Linked DNA regions of Oryzias latipes. The protein of the gene in region 2 interacts with the protein of the main gene of each other region in a pairwise test. Links are inferred from orthologs where the notes say so. Each region holds a gene or a part of one and is shown on either strand. Other genes may lie near its edges. The genes, in order: rnf5, abhd16a, probable E3 ubiquitin-protein ligase DTX2 and retreg3.

What was found.
Region 1: the proteins of abhd16a (region 2) and rnf5 interact in binary tests that used the Homo sapiens proteins (3 or more experiments, as listed by UniProt). The link is inferred for Oryzias latipes from reciprocal best matches to the Homo sapiens genes ABHD16A and RNF5.
Region 3: the proteins of abhd16a (region 2) and probable E3 ubiquitin-protein ligase DTX2 interact in binary tests that used the Homo sapiens proteins (3 or more experiments, as listed by UniProt). The two-hybrid records come from large-scale screens. The link is inferred for Oryzias latipes from reciprocal best matches to the Homo sapiens genes ABHD16A and DTX2.
Region 4: the proteins of abhd16a (region 2) and retreg3 interact in binary tests that used the Homo sapiens proteins (3 or more experiments, as listed by UniProt). The link is inferred for Oryzias latipes from reciprocal best matches to the Homo sapiens genes ABHD16A and RETREG3.

The regions. Positions count from the first base shown.
Region 1 is NC_019869.2:5,391,579-5,397,534, forward strand, and holds the start of rnf5 (E3 ubiquitin-protein ligase RNF5), read left to right. Parts: upstream 1-2,209; 5' UTR 2,210-2,364; coding exon 2,365-2,546; intron 2,547-5,558; coding exon 5,559-5,577; intron 5,578-5,956. Other genes in the region: rRNA-processing protein UTP23 homolog, read right to left, coding at 542-716, 814-1,001. UniProt on the Homo sapiens protein: Membrane-bound E3 ubiquitin-protein ligase that mediates ubiquitination of target proteins. May function together with E2 ubiquitin-conjugating enzymes UBE2D1/UBCH5A and UBE2D2/UBC4.
Region 2 is NC_019874.2:20,786,192-20,791,559, forward strand, and holds the end of abhd16a (protein ABHD16A), read right to left. Parts: intron 5,285-5,368; coding exon 5,235-5,284; intron 4,827-5,234; coding exon 4,703-4,826; intron 4,625-4,702; coding exon 4,520-4,624; intron 4,440-4,519; coding exon 4,376-4,439; intron 4,300-4,375; coding exon 4,243-4,299; intron 3,369-4,242; coding exon 3,306-3,368; intron 3,195-3,305; coding exon 3,118-3,194; intron 2,997-3,117; coding exon 2,898-2,996; intron 2,822-2,897; coding exon 2,775-2,821; intron 2,209-2,774; coding exon 2,125-2,208; 3' UTR 1,834-2,124; downstream 1-1,833. Other genes in the region: vars (valine--tRNA ligase), read left to right, coding at 1-9, 91-246, 316-540, 616-727, 840-1,015, 1,271-1,420, 1,510-1,578. UniProt on the Homo sapiens protein: Phosphatidylserine (PS) lipase that mediates the hydrolysis of phosphatidylserine to generate lysophosphatidylserine (LPS). LPS constitutes a class of signaling lipids that regulates immunological and neurological processes.
Region 3 is NC_019872.2:28,223,325-28,229,464, reverse strand, and holds the start of probable E3 ubiquitin-protein ligase DTX2, read right to left. Parts: upstream 4,045-6,140; 5' UTR 3,405-4,044; coding exon 3,095-3,404; intron 2,721-3,094; coding exon 2,132-2,720; intron 1-2,131. UniProt on the Homo sapiens protein: Regulator of Notch signaling, a signaling pathway involved in cell-cell communications that regulates a broad spectrum of cell-fate determinations.
Region 4 is NC_019866.2:6,742,449-6,748,646, reverse strand, and holds the start of retreg3 (reticulophagy regulator 3), read right to left. Parts: upstream 3,829-6,198; 5' UTR 3,747-3,828; exon of another isoform or gene 3,509-3,746; 5' UTR 3,478-3,508; coding exon 3,230-3,477; intron 2,186-3,229; coding exon 2,079-2,185; intron 1,860-2,078; coding exon 1,829-1,859; intron 1,754-1,828; coding exon 1,627-1,753; intron 1,478-1,626; coding exon 1,393-1,477; intron 983-1,392; coding exon 845-982; intron 591-844; coding exon 511-590; intron 71-510; coding exon 1-70. Other genes in the region: tubg1 (tubulin gamma-1 chain), read left to right, coding at 4,751-4,799, 5,128-5,240, 6,153-6,198. UniProt on the Homo sapiens protein: Endoplasmic reticulum (ER)-anchored autophagy regulator which exists in an inactive state under basal conditions but is activated following cellular stress.

The DNA.
Region 1 (5,956 bases), on a different chromosome or scaffold from region 2:
CTGGTCCGGCCCTTCGGTCCAAATTTTATAACCCAATGTGGCCCACAAGTTAAAATAATTGCCCACTCCTGAGATAAACCAACAAGAAAAATGTTCAAAGATTTTTAAAAAGGGTTTGTCACATGGGCCATACTTTAATTTTTATTTGGGAAAAGTAAATTTCCATAAATGGTTTGGTTTAGCAACAGTTTGTTTTCCTCCTCTAGTTGTTTTCCAAATCTGAGGCCATAAGAGACTTTTCTTTTTAAACCCTAAAAATCATACTACAATAAACACAGTAAGTGACATTTAGGTTTTTTGTTGCTGAAAGTCAATAATACCCTTTTATGTTTCAAAATGAACCTTACTGCCGTGTTTCCAGTCATCCCTTCAATGAATGTGTATTGTTTTTGCAATCTAGGGAGTTAAATGTTAAAGAGCAGAAAGTTTTCTGATCCTGACAGTTATATGCAGCACCTTGTGTTCAGATTTTCTTCACTAAACTGAAAATCTATGCGGTTCTGCTTATTAATAAGTGAGCTCTTCGTCCATTTAAATGTACCTGCGTGGCAACAAAGTAATGGTGCGGGTTTGTGTCCTCCAGCATGGACAGCAGGCACTCTGACGCAGGAACCGGGTCCTTGAAGTGAGCACATTTCCTCAGCTGGAACCTCTGCAGAATAATTTTGGCTCCATAAAGCTGTTTTCCGAGAGTATCGAGTTCTTTCAGAGCGCAACTGTGTGTGAAAACGAATAAAACGGATTTAAAAAAAACAACAACAACCAAAGACTCTGAACACAACAACAGAGAATACCATTCGGTTATGTACGTACTTTGTGGTGCACAGCTGCACCTCACCCATTAGATATTTCGGCATTTGCTCTTTAATCTGAATTTTATTCTTCAACGCCGCCTGACAAAAAGTCCCGTCAATGAGGATCTGAAAAGGTTCCCTGAAGCTGAAGTTGTATTTGTAGAAGCTAATCGTTTTCTTGGCTTGTTTCTGTCGTTTGATCTTCATGTTCCGCCTTGAATAAAAAAAGAAATTAGCGAAAGCAAAAACAAAGCTTTAAACTTAAATTAATGTCTTCTTTCTGCAGTCAAAAAGGGTCAAAATAAGATCCTAAATCAGCGTGGAGCTGTACTCAAACGGTTTTGTGCGTAGGCCTAATAGCTCCGGAACGAAACAAAGATGTCTGCTTAAAGTTCCGGTTTTGAAACGGGGATGTTCATAAATGAGTCAATTAAAAAAATAATGTTTTAAATAAAAGACACTGTTTTTCTTTCTTTTAATCTTTAAATCTTTTTAATGTTTGGTTTTCAGATTTAACGGGTTCTGTCAGTTTAAAAAAATGCCTATCCCGGTTAATTTAATACAGTAAATGCAGTTATACATTTAATGTATTGAAGAAGGAAAAAAACGGTTGGGATATATAGTTATAATTTAACTTGAATAACAGAATTTTGAAATGTTAGTTTTTTGAAATTTTTTAGAAACAATTGTTTGTCTTTGTTTGTTATTTACATCCTGATTACTGACTGCCCTATTGTTTGTATTAAATTGATTCAAAAGAACACATCATTTTATGATAATTATCATTGTTGTCATTTCCGTTTGTTTTTTAAACATTTTATTAAAACAAGACACAAGACAATAAGTAAAAGAAAACACTTTAAATACTATGCAACTTGCACCACTGACAGTGAACATTATCAGTCAAGAGGTTAACAAGGTTTAATTAAACTTAATATAGAAAAAAAAACAAGACTCTTTGCTGTTTATTTAAAATCTTCTCAGTGTGCCATTAGTTATTACTGTTGTTGTCAGGTATTTGTGTGTGTATGAGTGTGTGTGTGTGTGTGTGTGTGTGTGTGTGTGCGCGCGTGTTTATGTGTGTATAAGTTTGACACATCACAATATTTGTTTTGTTTTGCCTTTCTTGAATTTATGAATAAGGGTTATTTAAAATAAAACACTACCGGATGTAACCTTAAACATTGGCCTTGCTTCATAGAATAGAAGAGAATAGAACTTTATTGATCCGGTAAAAAGTAATTTATTTTGATACCATAGTGCAATTGAAACCCGCAGATAGATGATAAACATTGAAAATACACTTAAAAAGTAAATAACCACGATAATCATTGTACAGTCTCCATGAGGCGTTTGTATTTACATTTTTAGCCCCGCCCCCCGACTCTTACAGCATTATTTTGACCGGAAACGGAAGTGGTTTCTCAGACAGCAGCAGCAGCCACAACTCAGTCCAAAGTGAAGACTGTACCATCAGTGTCGGACTCGGCTAACGCTAGTACCAGTCGGGCACGAGTGGCTTGGGTTGACTCAGTTCGGATTACTTCCCTTCGCTGTTCCGATAACCGTCATGGCGGCGGCGGATCCCCGCTACTCCAGAGGAGGTTTCCCCGCGGGGGAAAGCAGCAACGACCGCGACGGGCCAGGCGGCGGCAGCGGGGAAAGCGAGCGGGACCGGGCCACCTTCGAATGCAATATTTGTTTGGACACAGCCAGGGACGCTGTCATCAGTATGTGCGGACACCTGTTCTGGTACGAAACCAAAACAGTAGTTATTAGAGTGTGTGGGGGTGTTTTTCCATGATCTTTTGATGTTATTTGCCCGCGCGCGCGCGGCCTTCTTTAACGTCAGCTGTTGACGGCGGAGTCACGCCCCTCGCTGAAAACCACAATAATAATAATATTAAAAATAAGAATAAAGTACAAACTAATATTTTACAGAGGCAGGTCATAACTGTTTTACTGCATTACACCTAAACATTTTTTACAGCATTTTTATCAGCTGTCAGTCAAAGGTGACGTATTAATCTGTGACATATTAACTCTTATTGTAAATGCTTAGTGACCATTTCTAACTTTAACATCAGTCTGTGATGAGCCAAACTTGCTTCAGCTTGTTGCTGTGATTTAATCAGCTATTCTGTTTAAATCCACTTTAATCTGAACTGGCAGCTCACCACATCTGAAAGGAACCTGCGGCCAAAGACTTTCTAGCATTTTCTCCCCCTTGTGATCCAAACTTGCGCAACCTTCAACCTTCATGTTGTCGGTTCACACAAACTCAGTGGTTTTTGTGTGACTAATCTGGGAGTCGCTGATGTGACATCAGGGTCAGCAGGTTCCTATCAGCTGTAATCGAAAGCAGCGAAGGGTTCAGTGTGGAAACAAGCACAGGCTTGGACTTTGGTGGTTTAAGGCGGTTAACACATCAGAGATTGTTTATTGTGCAAAATCCAGAAAAGAATTGATCAAGAAGGACTAAAATCTAAGTGCAGGAAAATATAATCTTTGGAATGTATTGAAGAAGCTGTAAAAAAATGCAAATGTACATTTTCCTTCAACAGTTCTTGCTCATTTGGGGGGGGTTTGCAATAGAATAAAAACAAATCATGAAAGTGATTTATTAAAAATGTTTAACATGTTCTTGTGGCATTTTTCCGATGAAAGAGGACAATTATAGAGAAAATTAAACATTTTCTGAGTATTTTGTTATTCAAATCATTGTGAATCAGGAGCAGAATTTTAAAAAATTCAGTTTGAAAAAGATCGTATTTGTGACAGAAAATAAACTGGGCGGGCCATAAGCTCACAGATTAAGTTGGGGTTGTGTGAGGGGCTGTAAGCCAGCAGGACAGCGTGTAGACAGATGCATGATGGGAAGTGGCATAACAGCACCATCATAATTAAAAGGGAACTATTCATCAATAGATCAGGTTGTAGAGCGACTCTGATTACTGTTGGTTATATTTCCTTTCATTTTCTTTGCTGGCTTTTGTGATGTCACAGCCGATCGTTATTAAAACCGCTTCTCATTTCTCTTTCTGCGCTTCCTGTACTCTGTTTGAAAAGCTGGAAAATGTATATTTGATATGGCTATGATTGTCAGAAGGAGGCGATGAAGCCAGTTTTGTCTTTAAGCTGCTGAACAGAAATAGAAAAAGTTGGTAAAACAGAGAAAATGTTAGACATTCAGGAAACTTTGAGACATTTAAAAAAATAAATCCACACATATATTTGCATTTATTGTATCCATTATATGTCTTTTAATATAGTGTCACTCTTTTTTTAGAAGTTTGTAAATATAAAAACAAGTATTGGTGTGTTTTAGAGAAAATCTGTCCAGTTGAATGAATCGGTACAAACACGCCGTTTTTTTTCTCAGACAGAGGAAGGATTTCTGTTGTAGCTTAACCAGCCGTTGATTGCTGCTACTTAATATAAACAAAAAGAAGAACAAATAAAGTCTAATTAACTTAAAACCCCCAGAGGAAAAACCGCTCCGGAGCTCTCTGGGGGTTAAATCCCGGTCCAGTACCGGATCAAGTTCTGGTGGACCAGCTGGTGCGTGTCTGTGTTTGCAGCTCCCACGGCGGCGTGCGCTGATGTAACGTCGTTGCTATGTTACCCCCCCCCCCCCCCCCCCCCCAAATCTGTACGTAACATGATGAAACTTTGAAGCAAGGAGGTCAGTTGATGACATCAGCTCACCTGCTGCAACATCTCATCAAGCTGCTTGTGGAATAGGATTCATCATCATCTTTGACTTTTAGCTATGCAGTGTCGGATTTTCCACAAACTCTCACTGAAATGTGGTGTATTTTATTGTAAAGTAATATTCTGCTTAGATTAGTTTTTCAAGCCATCTCTGAGATGATTTCATAAACTGGTGTTTGGAGCCAAAAAAAATGCGTCTGACTTCATTGCAAAGGTAATCTGAAAAACACAAAATGATGAGATAAGCAGCTTTTATTTTGAAGGCACAAAGTCCTGCGGCTTCTCAGTTCAAATAAATCAGGTTTTTATCACTTGTTGCAGGTTAAAGTTGGTATTGAAACTCAGGATTTGCTCTGTGTTGATCCTTGATCCTAAATTGACTGCGGGGACGCCGATCCCCGTTTTTTAAACCCAAGCAGTGCAGATTACTGCGCCGGAGTGCTGCTGTGGTTCTGAAAGTCCCGCCCTTCTTGTTGGTTTGCATGCTCCAAGTTCCTTCATGACTAAATCTCAAAGCATTTCTAAAATGTGTAGATTTACGGTGGTTTAATGATATCTCTGCCTTAAAAAAAAAGCAAAAATCTGTTAGAAATGGAGGTTCATTTCAGTTTTCTTCTCATCACACACTAAATTCTTGGAATCAAGGCCAGTTCTGGGGAGCAAAAAGACTCAAACGAGTTCCTGAAATGAGACTTTTTAATGTGAAAGGATCGTAACCATTGCATTTTGGAAAAAGCTTCATGTTTCCTGTCAAAGTCACGAGGCTTCTCCTGGAGCCGGGCGGCTCCCAGAAAACGCCTGAGGGCCGCCGGGGCTGCATGGAGCAGTCCACAGCTTCTCATTGGAGCAGGCTTGGAAGTCATGCAGATTACAGGGATCTGATTCCATTTTTAAAATTGTTTCAAATGTTTTGAGTTAAGATCGAATCATTTCTGACGGATTTATTGTTTGAAATGTCTGTCTAAACTAATAGCCTCCTTTCAAATCTCTGAATCGCAGCAAAATTGCTTTTAGAAGGGAATAATTTGTTGTCTTTTCTCCTGTTTGCAGCTGGCCCTGTCTACATCAGGTGAGTCCATCCTCTGTTCTTTTCCCAAACAGCTTCTGACTCGATCTTTGAAGAGAAATAAAACTGGATCCTTATATTTTTGGAGTTTTTTTGAAAGATTCAGACACATTTCTACAGAAAAACTTAGGCTCAAGGCAGCTTCTTCTTTTGGGTCTGATGTACTTGGTCATGTTTAATGACATTTTAATCGATTTCAGTGAAAAGGTTTCATTTTTTGTCTTTAATGATAAAAGGCCGAAGGTTTTTCTGCATCTTTTGTGGGCCAACGTAAACGGCAGGACATTTTATTTCAACTTAAAATAAAAAAGGCTTCCAGATATTTAAAGCGTTTGTAGATCAGTGTTACCATGTGAACCACCGAGTCCAGATTGCGTTCTAA
Region 2 (5,368 bases):
AAGGCACAGGTGAGGCCTGCTGACCTGACGAAGACACAAGTGTATCACAGAAGATTCAGCTATAATACTGAAACGTCTTCTCCCTGGCAGCTGTCGGGGGAGGAAAGTGTATCCGACAGGTGGATCTTATCCAGGCTGAGTGCTGCTGTGGCGCTCTGTGACGCTGGCTTCAAGGCATACGACTTCCCAGCCATCACCACTGCCGTCTACAACTTCTGGCTCTACGAGCTCTGCGATGTCTATCTGGTAAAGAAACACAAACCGTCCATCCTCTCATGGCTGGAGCTTTAATAATAAGCTGCCTTTAATGTTCAGGAAAGTGTTAAACCCGTGTTCAGTAAAGCAGAGGAAGATGGGGACCGCCAGAGAGAAGCCATGGTATGCAGACAGACCCTGTACACCTGTCTAGAGGTGGGTCTCCGCCTTCTGTCTCCTTTGATGCCCTTCGTCACTGAAGAACTGTACCAGAGGTTACCACGCCGACAGCCTCAGACTGACCCGCCCAGCATCTGTGTGACGGCATACCCAGACTCAAAAGAGGTAAAGAAAGAAACCGTGATAAAATTTAGAAAAGGTTTTGAGTTTTTAAAGCATCTTTGTTTTGTTTTTTAATAGTTCTGCTGGAACAGCGAGGAAGTTGACCTCAACATGGAGTTCATCATGACTGTGGTCAGAACGATCCGATCGCTCAGAGCTGACTACAATCTGACGAAGACTAAAGCTGACTGTAAAATTACTCTATTTTTTATTCCTATCATTGTATTTTAAAAGTATTAACTCATTAGTATGAGTTTATTATAGCAGCTGGTGGCTTCATAGGTTTCTCATCTCTTTTCCAGGCTACCTTCAGTGCATAGACTCTGCTACTGTGTCCCTGGTGCAGAAATACAGTCTACAGATCCAGACCTTGTCTTACTCTCAGGCCGTCATCCCCCTGACAGCCAGCGAGCCCGTCCCACAAGGCTGCGCAGTGGCTATCGCTTCTGACAGATGCACCGTCAACCTTATGCTCAAGGTGAGAGTCAGCAGTCTGCCGTATGCTCCCTGGTTGCCCCGCACCCCTATTTAATATCCAGCATATTTCACTTTCCAGTGCTGACTGGCACATTGTAGTTACAATTTCACTTGTGTTTGATTCTTTTACCGAAACAGTTCTAAGCCTGTCTTTCTGCAGCTCTAGCAGAACCTTTCCTGTTTCCTTTTTGGTCTTAACAAATCTAAAATAATATCACAATTTTCACCTCGTGTTTTCGTTTCCTTCTCCCCTCAGGGTCTTATTGATGTGGAAAAGGAAGTGACAAAGCTGCTGACAAAGAAAGGCGACTTGGAGAAACAGCTGGAGAAACTGCAAGAGAAGATGGCAAAGAGTGATTACAAGGAGAAGGTTCCAGTGAAGGTGCAGGAGCAGGATGCTGAGAAGGTGAAAAAAAAGAAATTGGCTTGTATGATGTTTCAAAGTGAGACGCACACATGCCCAGCAAATAATACTTTTGTTTCTTTTCTGCACAGCTACGACAGAGCCAGGCTGAACTTGAGAAAGTCAAAGAAGCCATAGACAATTTTAGGAAAATGATGTAATTTCCACTCCTTATTCCAATGTAAATCAGGATGTATTTTCCGGTTAATGTTACTTTTTAAATTCTCTGTGGAGGAAGTAATTCAGTAAATCACTTCAACAATGATGTGAGGATGTTCTGTCCTTCCTGCTGCTGCCGTTCTAACTCGATCACTCCTATTAGCGCTAAACCTATTTAATTTCAGCTTCATTGAAACACTTACAGTACAGCTTGTCCCTGGATGAGGGTGTGTGAACAAATCTTGAATCGAGACAAATTGTTTACATTTCTTTTAATTGCAGTCATTTATATCAACTTATATTTGCTTTATAAATACAGACAAATGATGGAGTGAGTGAGTGAGTGATGGCTTGTGGATATTTTGAAAAGAAGCGTTAACATAATGACAAAACTGTCTTCGTAAAACGACGTGTGACGTTTTGATAACTTCTTGGGAAATCTGGAACAAAAAACAAAACCCCACAGCTGTACATTCACACTTGTCCAGACACACTTGACTACAGGTCATCCAGCATCTCTTGGTTCCCCTTATGCATCCTTTGTTCAGTTACAGCTTCCACGGTGAGTGGAACTCGGAGGCGGGCAGAGGAGTGCAGTGTGTCGATTCAAAGTTTCGCATGTACTTCCTTGCCTGGGAGGAGAGAAAGCACAGCAGGGATGGAGGAGGAATGGAGAATTAGATGTGTGGGAGGGGAGGCGAACAAAAAGTGCAGAGCTTGATTATATTAGGCTGAGTCTATCTGGCTCAGTGCCTTACAAATCTCTTGCATCTCTAAAGGGTTTACACAGGAGGTAAATAAAGCCTAATTTAGAAGGTATTACCGGAGGAGGAAAAGGCACAGCATTAGTTGTAATTGATGGCACTCCTCTTGTTTGATGTTAAATGACTTCAATAAGCCGAGCACGGTAAAATATATTACACTAGTCAACCTGAAAGCACAGGTGAGCTGGTTGCTATGGCGACCAGAACAGTGTTTTTTTGTGATAATGTCTGAAAAGCTGCAATTTCTTTTTTTTGTAGGGGGAGGTTGGCTTAAATTATAAGAAAAAAAGAAATTAGACTATAGACGAATTAGATGAACAGGTTATATAAAAAACCCGCTCTGAGAAATGAGATAAAGACAAGTGCCCGTCCTATAAGCAGACAGGGATACAGCTGGGACTGAAAGCACTGATAGCAATAAATTACTTCCATACCAAGAAGAGCGCCAGCTGCCGCCTTCCCTCTTGAGTCATGTCCTCACCTGGTGACAGAGGGAGTGTAAACATGGAAGCTTGTGGTGCCATTTGCCTTCGGTAACAGTGAAAGAAGCATCTTACCGACAGTCCATGGAAACAAAACATCTCTGTCTGTCTGATAGGACTGCAGCACAGACACGCACCATCCATCATCCACTTCATATCCGCTGTACACAGATGCTGCAGAGAGAGGGAGCTTGTGTTAGTTTGTAATAACCAGATGTCCCAAATATGAGGTATAGTCATATATATTTCTCATTATGATGGTAATTAGTTCAAATGCACACATGAATCTGATTACCTTCTTCTAACTGATTGGAGGCTCCAAGCCATTGCTTCACAACGCGGATCCCCTCATCCGTCATGATTTTGGGATACCTGAGCAGGATGGACACGTTGCCAGTTTCTCTTTTTTTTTTTTAATACATGATTGGCTCAACAAGTGCAAATCCACAGTGCTTCTGGCAAAACTGAGGTGTAGAGACTGACCTGGACTGAAGCAGCTTAAGCAAAAGGTCATTTCCTCTGTTGGACATGATGTCTTCTGGGCCCCTGGAACAAATGAGGAGGTGATGTGATGGCACGCATTTCTGAGAACATCTTGAAGGCATTCGAAATATTTTATTATATCAGTACATTTTGAAGGCTGCAAGAGAGCATGTATTGTGGTTGGAATATTTTTATACTTAAACCAGGAAGAAATAATTAGAATAACAATAAAACCAACAATCATCCCCTCATTTTATACAAATTTGCAGGATTAATTTACCGTAGTACACAGGGAGGAGCAAAAACACTAGGAACTTAAATTATGTTACATTTCTCTGATTTCTTTGGAGAAAAAAAAGAAATTATGTTCAATAACTCTGCAACAAAGAATTACATCTATTTGCATCCATCATTGGTAAAAATCTCTTATGAGGTCATCATTGTAAATGAGAATTTGTCCTCAACTGATCCTGCTGATAAAATAAAGATTAATAATCTTACCTCCTGAATAAAGGCACATTTAACTCAGATTTTTTTTTTAAAACACATCCAAAATACTATGGAATTAAAAACACTCAAGTTAATTGAAGTTCTTTTTTTGGTAAGTTTTCCTATTTTTAACTTTAGGAAACAAACCTACAGTTTTCAAGCATTGCGCTTTGTGCCTGCATTTCTCCATGGGTTAAATGGCTAAAGTTAAATTCCTTAACTTTTTCTGCAGTAGAAGGATCTCTGAAGGTGAAAAAAATATCTGCAAAATTTCTAGTGAGCCTCAAAAACATCCTATATAATTAAAAAATTTCCCAGTGTTTAATACCACCTCAATTGTGCAGAAATCAACTTTAAAATGCATTCAATAATCAAACGTGTATTTCCTGTAAAAGAAGGAAAGAAGAATGGTTGATGCTGAAAGTATTTTGGGATGTGCTGGAGTTACCCTGTGGTGATGATTTCATCTCTGCTCCTCCTGATGAGCAGCACTGGTCCCTGGTATCTGAAAACAAAAGAGTTTTAGTGCCACTACTGCCAACATTTCTTTTGTAAGATCAGTGGGCGGGCGCTACACTCACTTGAGAAGCTGCTCTGCATTGTTCAGGTTCACATATCGTCTCACTGTATATTGCACTAGAGGCCCTGGCAGAGGAAAGAGAAAAAAAAGCTTGAATTATTGAAATGAAACTGCAGGTTCAGTGCTATAGATCTTTAGCACTCACTCCAACTCTCAGGCATGACTTTAAGAGCCAGCGGCAGGAGGTCGTCAAAGGAGGCGTCCAACACCAGAGACTGAATCTCTGGGTATGACATCACGGCCCACGTGGCTACCAGACAAGTACATAAGCTGGACTGTTAGTGAGAAGAACCACACAAGAAAGTTTTCAAACTAATCAACTGTGTACCTGTGAATCCTCCTATGGACCAGGCATAGATGATGATATCATTTAGCTGGAAGCCCAGCTTGTGTACTGCAAACTGGATAACCACATCCATGGCATTGGCCTCATTCTGGGGAAACGGCACTCCCTGACAGAAAGGGAGAAAATACATACACATGAAAACATTTAGTCTCTAAAGAATCAATCATGACTCTATTTTACACCACAGAAAGCTGATTTTTAATGCATTGTAAGGATTTACAACACTCCCAAATATGGGAGCGCCTTGGGCGAAGGTGCCAGGGTTAAACAGGAAATTCCAACTGCTGTTGTTTCCCACTGAGAGAAGAACAGCCTTCAGACTGAAGTGAAAGAACTTTAGCATCAAGATTACAAGAGAAGAAAATCAAGTGAAGGAATTTCAGAAAATGAAAATCAAGTTAATGCAAGGCTACAGTGGAAGTTATCATGTTAACCATGAAAAATAATAACCCAATTAGCAACATAGCATAAAGAAATACTAAAGTATAACCTCCAATATGACAACTCTGCTCACCGTGCTGTCCCCAAATCCAGGGTGGTTCCAGCCCAGGACGGAGTATCCAGCTGCAGGGGACGACAACAAATACTGAACTACACTTTCAGCTAAGACATTAGAAACGTTTCATAGAACAATGTGCGCTTCCCTTA
Region 3 (6,140 bases), on a different chromosome or scaffold from region 2:
TAGTTTGTAAAGAATAAACACCAAGATCCTCTTTTGTTCAAAGTTTCCTCTAAAATCCAGCAGGAGACAAAAATCCATGTTTGGAGTAAAGACTCCTGGTTCCTGTCTGTTAAATGCAGCTTTTATTTTGAAGTGGAAGGCTCTTCTTCCGTTTCCTCTCTGGATCTTTTCAGAGTAAAGAAGCTTTTCAAATACGTTTGTTTTTTGTTAACTTTGTTAGCTTTTGGGTCTCGGTTTCGAAGGTAGCGGATGGATTTTCCACACGGGACCGAGCGGCGTGACACGTGCTGAGAATGAGGTGGACAGAAGTCGGTTGTTTTTCCAAAACTTCCTTCAGAATTAGATTAGAAATAACGGTTTTTGTTCTCTCCGGCCTGGTACCAACTGTCACACGGACCGGTACCGGTCCAAGCCCAGAGAGTTGCTGCTGTATGGAGCTCTCAAGCTGCCTTTGTGTGGAAAGAGAAGAAGCAGCTCTGGAGGAATGCCAAACATTGCCTCTTTAATGCCTTTACTGGAACTTTCTGGAGCTTTCATCAGAACATTTTAGGAACTGAAGCAGAACCACCAGATGGAAGGAGGAGCTTCCTGAGGCTCCGAAGCAGCATCCTGACACCTCCAAGGGGAACATTAGGACAAGCAACAACTGTGGAAGTCTGGAGAAGAAGCCCATCCAGCAGAACTCAGGAGGGTCTGGATCTTCAGCCCGGCTGAGGACAGGAACCGCTTTGAAGAGGAAGGAAGGTCAGACGATGCACTCAGGAGTGACAGGAAGTGAGCCTGAGAAAACACTTTGCTGCCCTGCAGGGCGGCTCAGCGATGAGGCAGGAAGAGAAGCGGGTGGGAAATGGAAGAACCCCAGCAGAGCAAATCCTCGCTGCCACCAAAAGCAGGGCGGCTTTCAACGCCGACAAAAGCTGTATTTACAGAATTGATGCATCACATCCATGAAGGCATTTTCCTCTCACTGTTGGTGGCAAAACAAAGGCTGTGTCTGAATTCCAGCCCTAACCCCTATAGAGTGCACTACATAGTGATTTTCTAGTGCTGTCAAAATGGAGTGCCCTTGAAATTTCCCAGAAGTGTCTGCAAAAAAACGGCACATATAGACCACAATGCATTGCGTCGAAACAATTTTTGGCAAAAAAAAAAAAATGCATTAAAATGTATTTTTTTAATAAATCATTAATGTTTTTATCTTCAGAAGACAGTAGACTCATAAATACTCGTCCAAAAACGCTCATATCAGTTCGATTTTAACTTTGTGAAATCGATGACGTCATATCCGCCGTCTAAAAAATACAAGTAGTGAGCGTGGCGTCCGAATCGCTTTAACATTCAGGGCGCTACACAGTGCTGCACTATGTAGTTTGGGGTTAGGGTGGGAATTCAGACACAACCAAGGATTTTATTCTCATTTTATTTGATTTCACAGAACTACCTTAAAATAAAAAAAAGATAAAATAAAGATAAAAATAATGCATAATCAATTATCGAAGATGGTTAAAATGAGTGATTTCTAATTACATTACTTCACTTGCTCCAAAAATGGATTCATGGTTTTTCTTAATGAAACTTAATTTTGCACATATTTTTAACTTTTGAACTTTGATCAATTTTTGATATTGAAGATTTTTGAAACAGTGTTATGTCTATTTTACTGATATAGTATTATTTTTTAATCATATACATCATTGTTCTAATGAATATAATCAGCTTATATTTTAGATAATTGATCTGCATTTGCTATTTCTAAAATAGAGTTATGTCTATTTTTACATAATAATTAAGAAATTCATCTTTATCATGAGATTTATTGACACCAAAAGATTCTTAATTCTGTCTGATAAAAGTTCTGAACCGGATAAAGATAAAACATGTAATAAAATATGCTGATTGTATTGTTTTTGTGTATTTTTCTTCCTTGATTGCTTGAAATAAACCATTTCAAATCAAAAATCAAATCAAATCAAAATGTAAGAGTTCCTATTTTATCCATGTCTGTCCCACATTTGTTCAGGTAAAACCATTTGACCCCACAAAGTGACTTCAGATCCGTGTTGGCGACTGGAACGGGACCGGCAGCGTTTTAGCAGATACCAGAAACCCCGGACAGAGAGGCGGAACCCACCTGAGCCCGTTGGCGCTGGCGGAGCCGCTCAGGTGCGACGCCGAGATCTGACTGGCAGAGGGAGGGGGGAGCCAGGGGCTGCCCCAGGATATCCCCCCAACAGAGTGGGGCCTCCGGGGATACGGCGAGTAGACGGAAGTGGGGTGGGTCGCGGCTGCCCTTCCTGGTCCCTGCAGGCCGGGTCGGTTCAGACTCCCCGAAGAAAAGGAATGTCGGGAGCGGCTGGGCATGGGCCCCGTGCTGCTGTGGCTCAAACACTGCTGGCAGGAGCAGGCCGGCCCCAAGGGGACAGCCGGGGGCCCCGGGGACGCCAGCGGGAACGGGGAGTTGCCCAGTCTACGAACCTGCCGTCTGAAACCCGTTGATTTGTTGACCTGGGCGAAAGACGTGAGGTCCACAATGTAGTTGTATCCGTGAGGGCCCAGGTCGGCGGTCCCCTGGCGGGCCTGGTAACTGTGCTCCAGAAGGATGGAAGTTCTGGTCTCGTACGGAGTCCAGCCCCCTTCATCGTTGGCCCATTCCCAGTAAACGCCACTGCCGAGGCCCGAAGACTGGGGGAACAGAGACCGGCGCACGGAGCGCGTGGTTCCTGCACAAAAACCCGCAAATGAGTTTACCTTCAGCAAGACAGTACTCTTTGTAAGAGTACTACAAAAGGTACTTGGTCTATACTAAAAGTGATGCACTTGAAGTTCACTTCCATACTGTCTATTCCTGGACTCAAAATGTTCCAAGAAATACTCAGTTACTTCACTAAATCTACATAGTCTCTAGTATTCTAGCTATACGTGTACTCAAGTATACTTAATAAAATAAACTTAAAGTGTACTGCTGCTTTCTAGACCAGCTGACTGAACCAACATCATCTTCTCAGAAATGCAGTTTAAAAAGACAAAATGAACGACGGAAACCAGAATCTCTGATCTGAATCCGGACTTCAGGTGTGGTGCTGAAGCGGTTTACCTGTATCCTGTCGAAACTGCTTCAGGCTCGGTATGTCGATGAGGTAGGGGGACAGACTGGGATCTGATTGTCCGAGGCAGACGCTGGTGGAGCTGGGTCCGGCTCCCCGGTGGCCCCGCGGGGACAGGGACCGCTCGATGTGGGAGCAGACCTGGCCGCTGTACGGCCGCCAGAAGCCCTGGTCGTCCTGCCATTCCCACACCGCTATCATTGGCTGAGACTGTCCGACTGACGGGGACGGCGCGGCGGACACCGACGGCCCGTTTCTGGAGCTGCTCACCCGGGAACACGATCCAGACACAATCGCCATATTCACCGACCGAGGTACTAGCTAAGCTAACGGCGGCTCGTTCTAGCTAGCCGATCGGGGCTACGACAAAGCCAAAGTCCGCGGGGCTAGCTTGGCTCACTAAAGAGCTTCATTATGAACGTGGGAGCATGAAGAGGCCTGCAGGTAAAACACTACGCGCTCTCCGTGAACACCAAGGTGCATGTTGACATTTCTATCAGGGGAAACGCTAGCTTTACAACTGCGTTGCTAAGGTTCCTCCTCTGCTCCACCAGCTGCCTTCACGCGCCCTCTGAATTTTTGCATTCAAACCGATGACAGGTTGGCTCAACTCAGATTCGTAAAACAGAATTTTAATCTGTAAAAACATGCAAGCACAAAACAAACATAAATATCTACTTGCTAGTGTTGCTGGTTTAAATGACTTTAAATTGCTTACATTTAAACCCCACTATACAAAAAGCGTCCTTCATTACCTCTTTTTTTTTCAAAGTCTGTGGTGAGTCGGGGACAGATGGGAGAATGTACATTTCTTGAGTAGATCTGTGTGTTTTTTAATTCTAAAGCCAAACACTTCAAAGACCAGAGTACGCGGCTTTATTAACCAAAGAACAAATAACCTTTCAAGAAGAACACATTACCGTTCAAAATTACGTTTACAAAGTCTCCCTGAACTTCACACTCTTCTTCTTTTAAAACAACAACCTCTTCCTCTTTTTGGAATCTTCAAAAACTCTGCTGCCCCCTAACGGAGACAAAACGGTACGACAAAATACTCAGAAGAGGAAAGGTTGAGCAAAAGAAAACTACGACTGTTGGATCAAAGGGAACTGTAAAAAAATAAAAGATGTGTTCAATTTGCCACAAGAATTACATTAAAAAAAATTGTCAGAATGTCACAATTTTCCGAACTGGTTAAAACCAAGTCCTCATGATCTTAGTATTTACATTTGTACAATGGTACTCCAAACATAAAATATTACAGTTTTATTATTAAACTTCAAAACTTAGTTCCACATAGACAATAGAAATTATATTAGAGACTCTATAATATTGAATAATACAATCATATTATTTATTATTATTTCAACGTAAGAATATATGTTTAGACAAAAATGTTTGAAATCCCTTAAAGCAAATGTTGGGTGAAATTTTTTTTTATTGTTGTTTGAAATAGCACAAAATCATAAAAAGAACACTTTTGTTTTTTGGACACTGGGAAAAAGAAAAGATTTTAAAATAAAAGAAAACTAAGTAATTGTTTACCCCCGGAAATTTTATGAAAAAACACTTTGTTTTTTCTTTAAGGTGAGTATGAAGCAGAAGCATCGGTTTGCATCAATAGTGCGTCAAAGGCTTAAATGAAACCCCGGTGTCTCCTGTTTGCTCGGATCATCTCTGAGATGCGTGGGCTTCACTGACGTCCACCCGCGGTTCTGGAGTCGGTTGGGTTTGAGAGGACACCTACCTGTCTGCATGAGAGCTTTCATTCAGCAGAACATGTCAGAAAGGGAATGTCTGTGGACCTCTGAGGCCCAAATAAAGAAAAACGATGCAAAAAAACCCAGGTTCTGGTGCCTTGAAGGTTTAAATGTCAAAAAGGCCCTTTTCATTTAATAAACTGACGCCTCCCTGAGGTTTACTCTATTTGAAACAAGACATAAAACATTTGGAAAAAGTGAATAAGCCCTGAATGCACTGCTGGTAGAAGGATTCATGTTTAGTGTTTCCACCTTTAGAGCCGCCACATGAAAGATGAGGAAACCTTCCTGATCTTTCTGAAATTAACAATTCATGAACTGAAAGTTTTGAAGTTTTGCAGCAGCAGCAAACTTCTCCTTTTGCAAGACTGTACGCTTTTAGGAGATTAAACCCAAACGCTTCATAAAGTTACCTTAATCATAAAGAAAACCAAACTGGGACGAGGCCGTTTCAGTAAAAATATATGTCCTACCATCATTTTTAATTTTCCAAAAAGACACAGTGTCCAGAGAGTTTATTGCCAAATATAAATGACTGTTTTTAATTATCCGTAAATCTGCTTTTTATGGAGCGTTAGCAGAAGCATCTTTGGGATTACAGCTTGTCCACAAACCTCCTCCTTCCTTACTTCCAGTCCAGAAGATTGTGAGGAGCCGATATTGATCCCTTAGGAGACAAAAATAAAAATCAAATCCTCAGAAAAGCTTCAAGTTCTATCAAATCTTCAGTGAAAAATGTAAATCCCTTTGGAAAGTCTTTAGTTTCTCATGTGCTTCAGACATGGATGAAGACGCCGACGGTCAGATTTGAAATGATGGTTGCAGGACGCCGCCTCTGCTGCTGCGTTTCCTCCTTCAGCGACTGCTTCCATCACAGGAAGGAACCAACTTCAGAGATCCTTTTAGAGAAAGACTGTCTCCAACAAGCAGAAGACGTTCCCTCAGTGCCCTACCCGCCAATTATAAGTGCCAATATAGACTCCAACACACATGCATGCACACAAATACACATACAAGGAAGGTGGGGAGAGTAAGAGGGATCCCTGAGTTCTCTGGGAAAAGGGGTTTATTCAAATATATACCTTGTGTGCCCAGTCAAACCTGTCCAACATAAAAGGCCTTCAGCAGTCAGCTGTGTGCTCAGCTGTTGGACAGAACAAGTAAAAAAAACAGAAAGTGTAAAACAATGGTTGGACATCCCTGATTGGATGAAAATGTTTGAGTTTTGAAGAAGAAGGAAAGCAGAAGGAGGTTTTACCTGAACCGTGGGAAGAAG
Region 4 (6,198 bases), on a different chromosome or scaffold from region 2:
AGGACACATCTGCATCCGAGTGCTCAGAGTCAGTCAGAGCAAGCTCCTTAGCAACAACGTCATCATCGAACTGAAACAAAGAGATTCCGTTAAAATACTAAACACAGATTTATGGTTCTTTTATTTTCTTTTTTTTGTCCTAAAAAAAAGAAAGTTGGCACACAGGAGGCTTTGCAGACAAGCTGCTACTTGTTGATTAATAGATCGTTCCAAGTTTCTGTTTGTTGTCGAACTCATTTTTCCCTGTGTAAATCCTACCATTGTGAAATGGTGTCAAAGATCTGCCATTTGCCTGCACTGTCCTATGAGGTAGTCCAGAAAAGCACACATGCCATTCATCAAAGCAAACAGTCTCTTCATAGAGTTAGTACACAGCAGTTCAGCTCTGTCTTTTTTATTTGGTCAAGAAAAAAAAAATTATTGGATCCCTTTCCTTTGGGCTGACATAGCCTAAAACCTACACAAGAGCAGCCTCAAACACTGACAGACAATAGAAACCAACAGACTTACTGTTGGGCAGAAAGCGGCTAACTCTTCCTCGCTGTCGCTGGCTTCACCTGAGGCTGCACCACGTACGGACCTTCGCAGGACTAAAGACAGACGTACACCGCCGTTAGATAACTTAGAAACAGTGAAAGAAAAGGCGGCTTTGGTAAATGCAATAACAGATTTCCATATCCAGCTTTGTCCAAACAAAACAAACCTTTAAAGATGCTTTTTTTTTTAAAAGGGAGAACATAAATTGTAAAGCATCAACTGCTTTTAATGAAGCAGTCAGATGGGGTCACTTCAGTTCAATGCAGTGAACGTAGATCTGAAAGACAAACGTGTGCGTCAAACTCACACTGATTATCGATGGGCTTTGACATCATGTATCCATGGATGCTGAAATCCAGCCGCTGCAGGACTGGCTCCAACTTCATGCACGCATGCTGAAAGACTCGATGGTATGCTGCCAGAGGAGCCAGGAGGATGACCAACACTGCCAACGAGGGAGGAGGAAAGTCATGACACTTATGGTGATATTTAAGTGTTTTGCTTTTGTTTTTTCTATAAAATCAATGAAGATCTACAAACATGTTGGGTTTGAGAATACAGACAGGCGGACAGCTGTGGACTGGCCCGCCCTCTGCAGTCTAACACCAGCTCCAGGTTAGGAGATTAACCTGCTGTCCGCCTGACCTCTTTAGATTCCTGTCCTCTCCTCCTCCTCCTCCTCCTCCTCTTCCTCCTCCCTGTTTTAATCACTTCGTAGGCCAAACCTTGTGTCGGGGCCCCACAGATCTGGTTTCACTCATATATTTTTCATTTGGCATAAAATGAGTTTCCTGCCAACAGTGTAGCAGCAGGGCGTGACCGGTAGTTAGGACCGGTAAAACTGCTCGGACTCACATGCAGCGTAGGACAGTACCAATCCAGAAATGTAGCACCCAACCACGGCCAAACAGGTGAACAACCCGCAGGTCAGAACGCAGAACTGCTCCAGAGAAGAACACAGAGATAGAAGTCACTGCCTGCACAGCACGTCACCCATGTAATATTCATTGAGGGAATGCAGGTGGATCAACTGAAGCAGTTCACATGAATAAGAGGATTAAATACATGGTGCTGGGCGGTAATCCTTACATTGCCAGGGTTTCGTTGTTTGAATTGAACCATGAAGCACATGAGAACTGATCCGCTGACCCAGGCCTCTGCCAGGTGATGGCAAAGCTCTGGTACACTTAGGATGCCGGGCTGCACCAAGGCCCAGCTGCGGAAACAGACATGTTGGACTGAAGCACTTTAGCGAACAATGAATGCTGCAGAAGAAATAACAGAAACACACCTTTCATTTTCAGATTCATCCAGTTTTCTGACTGTAAAGAGCAAAGAAACAAAGCGTTACAACTGAGAGGTATGAAGACACGTGGATTAGAAAGATTCCAAAGTTCCCCAAACTGTAGTTTGGTCATTTTCTTTCTTTATCGTTTGCCGATTGATGTTCCACTCGCGCATTTAGTAAACATAGATTTTAACAAGCATAAAAAAAGGACATTCTGAATATAAAGAACCACAATTTGAAGAGAAAAACACACCTCTAATCCTTGGCCAGATTTTATTCCTCCAGGTGTCAAAAGACACAAGGACAGCAAGCGAAGAGGCCAGGATGAACAGCAGACGCATCGATGTAAAGGCAAAAAACCTGGAACCGGAAGCATGCAAATAACAGCGCTTTAGCTGCCTGTTTCCTTAAGACTATGCAAAGAATTAAATCAAATTTAAAGAAGAAAAAAAAAGCGCACAATTCAATTAATGGTAAAAAAAAAAAAAAAGGAGTGATCATTGGTTAGGAGGGGTTTCCCATAAATAAAGTTTTGAATCAACGACAAAACCACTGAAAGAACTAGTTGTTAAGCTACAAAACAGAAAAAACTGCTCTTTGTTTTTGGCTGAGTAAGACTGCCTGGGATCTAAACACGAGTCTCTGTTGCTCTAATTTCAGATCTCAGGTTTTCACAGAATTGTTGGCAACAACAATGCTGCAGGATTCTGCCAATCCTCAGATTAATCCCATTAAGACGTTTCTGGTCAACAACTATTAGCCTTTTGTTGTTTTTTGAGCATATTTTTTGGGAAGGAAACCCCTTTTTGTTTTTAAAGAAACATGGTTACTTTTATTATTCCAATGTAGAATCCAAACACTCATCATTTAAGAGATTCATTTTCAACGTGGTCGAAGATATATTTAGTATGGAGTACATGATAAAAAACAAAAATAATAGAAATGATGTGTCAAAAACGTGTTCATAAACAAGATTTTTCCAGAGATTTCTGATTAAACAAGAATGAACACTAACAGACCCCAAACTTGTGCCAGATCTGCACACTTTAACCCTGATATTTGACATTTAAAATGTTAAGCTACTGCTCAAATCTTGGATTTAACCTTTTGATTTTTAAGTTAGCAATTCACAACATCCATATTTCAACAGAATAGAGTCTAGGTTACAGTTCTCAAGCCTGTCTGTTGCAAAACACATCCTTTGTGAAAAATACTGGACTAATATCTCAAATCAAACAAGTTTTGGAGCTATTGAACCACCTGTTTGATGTTTTACTGACAATTGCAACACTTTTACTGTCATCTACTTGCTTTGCTGTCATTTTCACCTGTTTTAAAGTTTATCTTACAGGAAAATGATCACAAACAAATTTCTAAAAAAGTGTATTTATTTGTCAAACTCACCAGAACGCCGTGTTTACAGCAAGAAAGAACAGGGCGCTGTGAAGTGGTCTCTCCCACACCAGGAGAGACTGCAGGTAGGTCAGAACGGGCTCGTAGGGCCCCAGTTTGGACTGAAGTTCTGCTTTCACGACCCGAACTCGGGCGTCTCTTTCGCTGGAGAATGGTCGACTTCGAAGGCAATTGCTTGAACTCTGAGACGCGGGACGATCGTCCATAGGGGCGCTTTCCATCGCTCCAGAGTACGCCATCAAACTGTGTCTGCTGTGGAACACTGTCAGTCTGTAAAAGAGAGAATTAAGCTGAGTGGAAACCGGTAAACAGCTTGATGAGGGGCTCCGCCGGTGACAGAAGAACACAAGCTAACGGCTATCAGTGCTAACAGTGAGCGACCACAACTCCGCACTGATGTTAATGTTACAACATTTCTCTTACAGCGTTAAAAACAACATTATACAAGGTCTAAAAATAAAGTTTCAGAGAAACCTGACACTAATTATAAAATATATATCTAAAATACATTTTGTGGTCGCTTCGGAAAATGTCAACATGGCGTATCTATTCCCAGCGTCGATTGATCCAATCAGATTTCAGGAAAGCAGTTGCGTCACAGTGCGTTCAGGTACAAAAGTGCAGACTAACTTCCCAGGCTGGGGCAAAACCTCAAGCATATTTTCGTATGTTTAAATGAACTGTAAAGCTCATTTATTTAAAAAAATATATATATATTTTTTCTTATTACAATCATTTATACTTGTCTTTTTTTAATTACTTTTATGATAAGCAGAGCAGACTTGCTACAAATGTATATGGGACTTTCTACAATTCATTAAAACTCTGGAATAAACGATTCATTGGGTTTGTTTTTAATCTCTTCTTATATGACATATTTTTTTTCCTCAATCCTTGTAAAATAAGCCTCTTTATACTTATGTATGTTTATGCATGTCAAAAAAGATTACTGAAACTAATTTGTGTATCTGTCTATGCTGTTTTGTTGGACCAAAAACCTATGACGATTTATTATTACTATTGATGGTAGTAGTAAGGTTTGCTTGGTCAAGAAACACATATCATGTCAATGAAAAAATATTGTAAAATACTGTTAAAAAACTTAGTGCCTATATGGGTTTACTAAACTTTGTTTGAATTAATTAAACTTGTGGTCACTTTGTGGCACAAAATATAACGTGCTTATCGATTTGACGAGAAAAATCAAACCGGAAAAAATGCATGGCCCCAAAAAGATTATAACCAAAATGGTATAAATTGTTTTTAAAGAACAAATTCGAAAGAGAAGATTACCATCTTTAAAAAAAATGTATTGTACTCCAACACACTAGGGGGCAGCACCGAGCGTGAACATTGTCCCATGAACATCCGTAGAAGAATTCAGCACGCCAGTTAGCGGGAACGAGCGGGTTGTTGTTGTCGCTGCTGGTCAGGGGAAAATCGGTGTAACCTGGGGGCTAGCTTTCATTATTTCGCTAGCAGACAGGCTAGCAAAATAAAAAGCAACTAACCATGCCGCGGGAAATTATAACTCTTCAGCTTGGACAATGTGGCAATCAAAGTAGGTCATTTTTTTCATACCCTTAAGTTAAGTTTCTGAACCGTTTCCTTTATATTTTGTTCGACGACTCTCCACCATTCGACCTAGACAGTTAGGTTAAATCTTCTTAAATGGTTCTTGGACCTTTCAGCTGAACATCTCTTTGGTGGGAAATAACCGCAGTGATGATGCTATTCCGGCTAGCTAACGGCTAACATGGTGTCCAGAAACAGTATAGTATAGGTAACAGTAGCTGTCATTCACAGAACAGCTGCGTGTTCTCAAACTAGAAACTGTTTAGTCAAAAACGAATGTAATCTAATACTAATTCTCCGTTTTCGTTTTGCAGTCGGGTTCGAGTTCTGGAAGCAGCTGTGTGCTGAGCATGGGATCAGTCCTGAGGGAATCGTGGAGGAGTTTGCAACTGAAGGAACCGACAGAAAGGATGTCTTCTTCTATCAGGTGAACGTTCACCAAGTCAAGAGCACGGGTCCTACCCGAAACAAATAATTACAACAAAAGGCAAGATTAACCACAGGACTGAGATCACAACAGGTTTAGGTGCACTCTACCAAAAAATAAAAACGTACTTTTATTCATTTACCCTTGAGCGGAAATACTGATCTGTCAGTATATCATATATGTCTTCTGTCAATAGATCTTTGGATAACCGAAGGAGGGTCTAAGGGCAGGGATGCCAGTTTAGTTTAGTATTTTCCACTATTGAATTCTATGTATTCATGATCCTTTTAAATTTGATTCTAAGTTTTACTTTTCAATTACCGATACAAAGTCCATCGAGATGACTGTTGTTGGGAATTTGGGCTATGCAAATAAAATTGAAATTGAATTGAAATACCCCCCCCCCCCAAAAAAAAAAAAGAAGCTAACCTGCTAATATAAATTTCTGTAATGTTATACAGCTTTAATAAAGTAAAAAAAACATTTTATGCAACTTTCATATTAGTTTTTTTTACACAGAAGAAAAAAAACTGAAATTAAACAAACTAAAACCAATGTCAACAATTTCATTGTCAAGATCAAACAGTTATCATGAATGTTTGATTCATTTCTTAGCAGTGAAGTGAAACAAATTTTGAATCGTATTTTATGGTTGGAACTAGTTAAAATGTATTAAATAATCTGCATATTTTTAATGATTGTTGTACAAGTTGATTAATAATTAACTTTTGAATGGTTGGTAAGCAGACAAGTTTCTGTTTCAATAACAACACATTTAGCCACTAGAGGGCACTCTTATTTGAGATTTGAGTGAGAAAGAGAGACATTCTCTAAGGTCTCTCTTTTAAGAGACCAGGTATCTTACCTGATATCTAAATTTAACCCCTGGTTATTTATTTTTAATTTTTTTAGGCTGATGATGAGCACTACATCCCTCGCGCTGTACTGTTGGATCTGG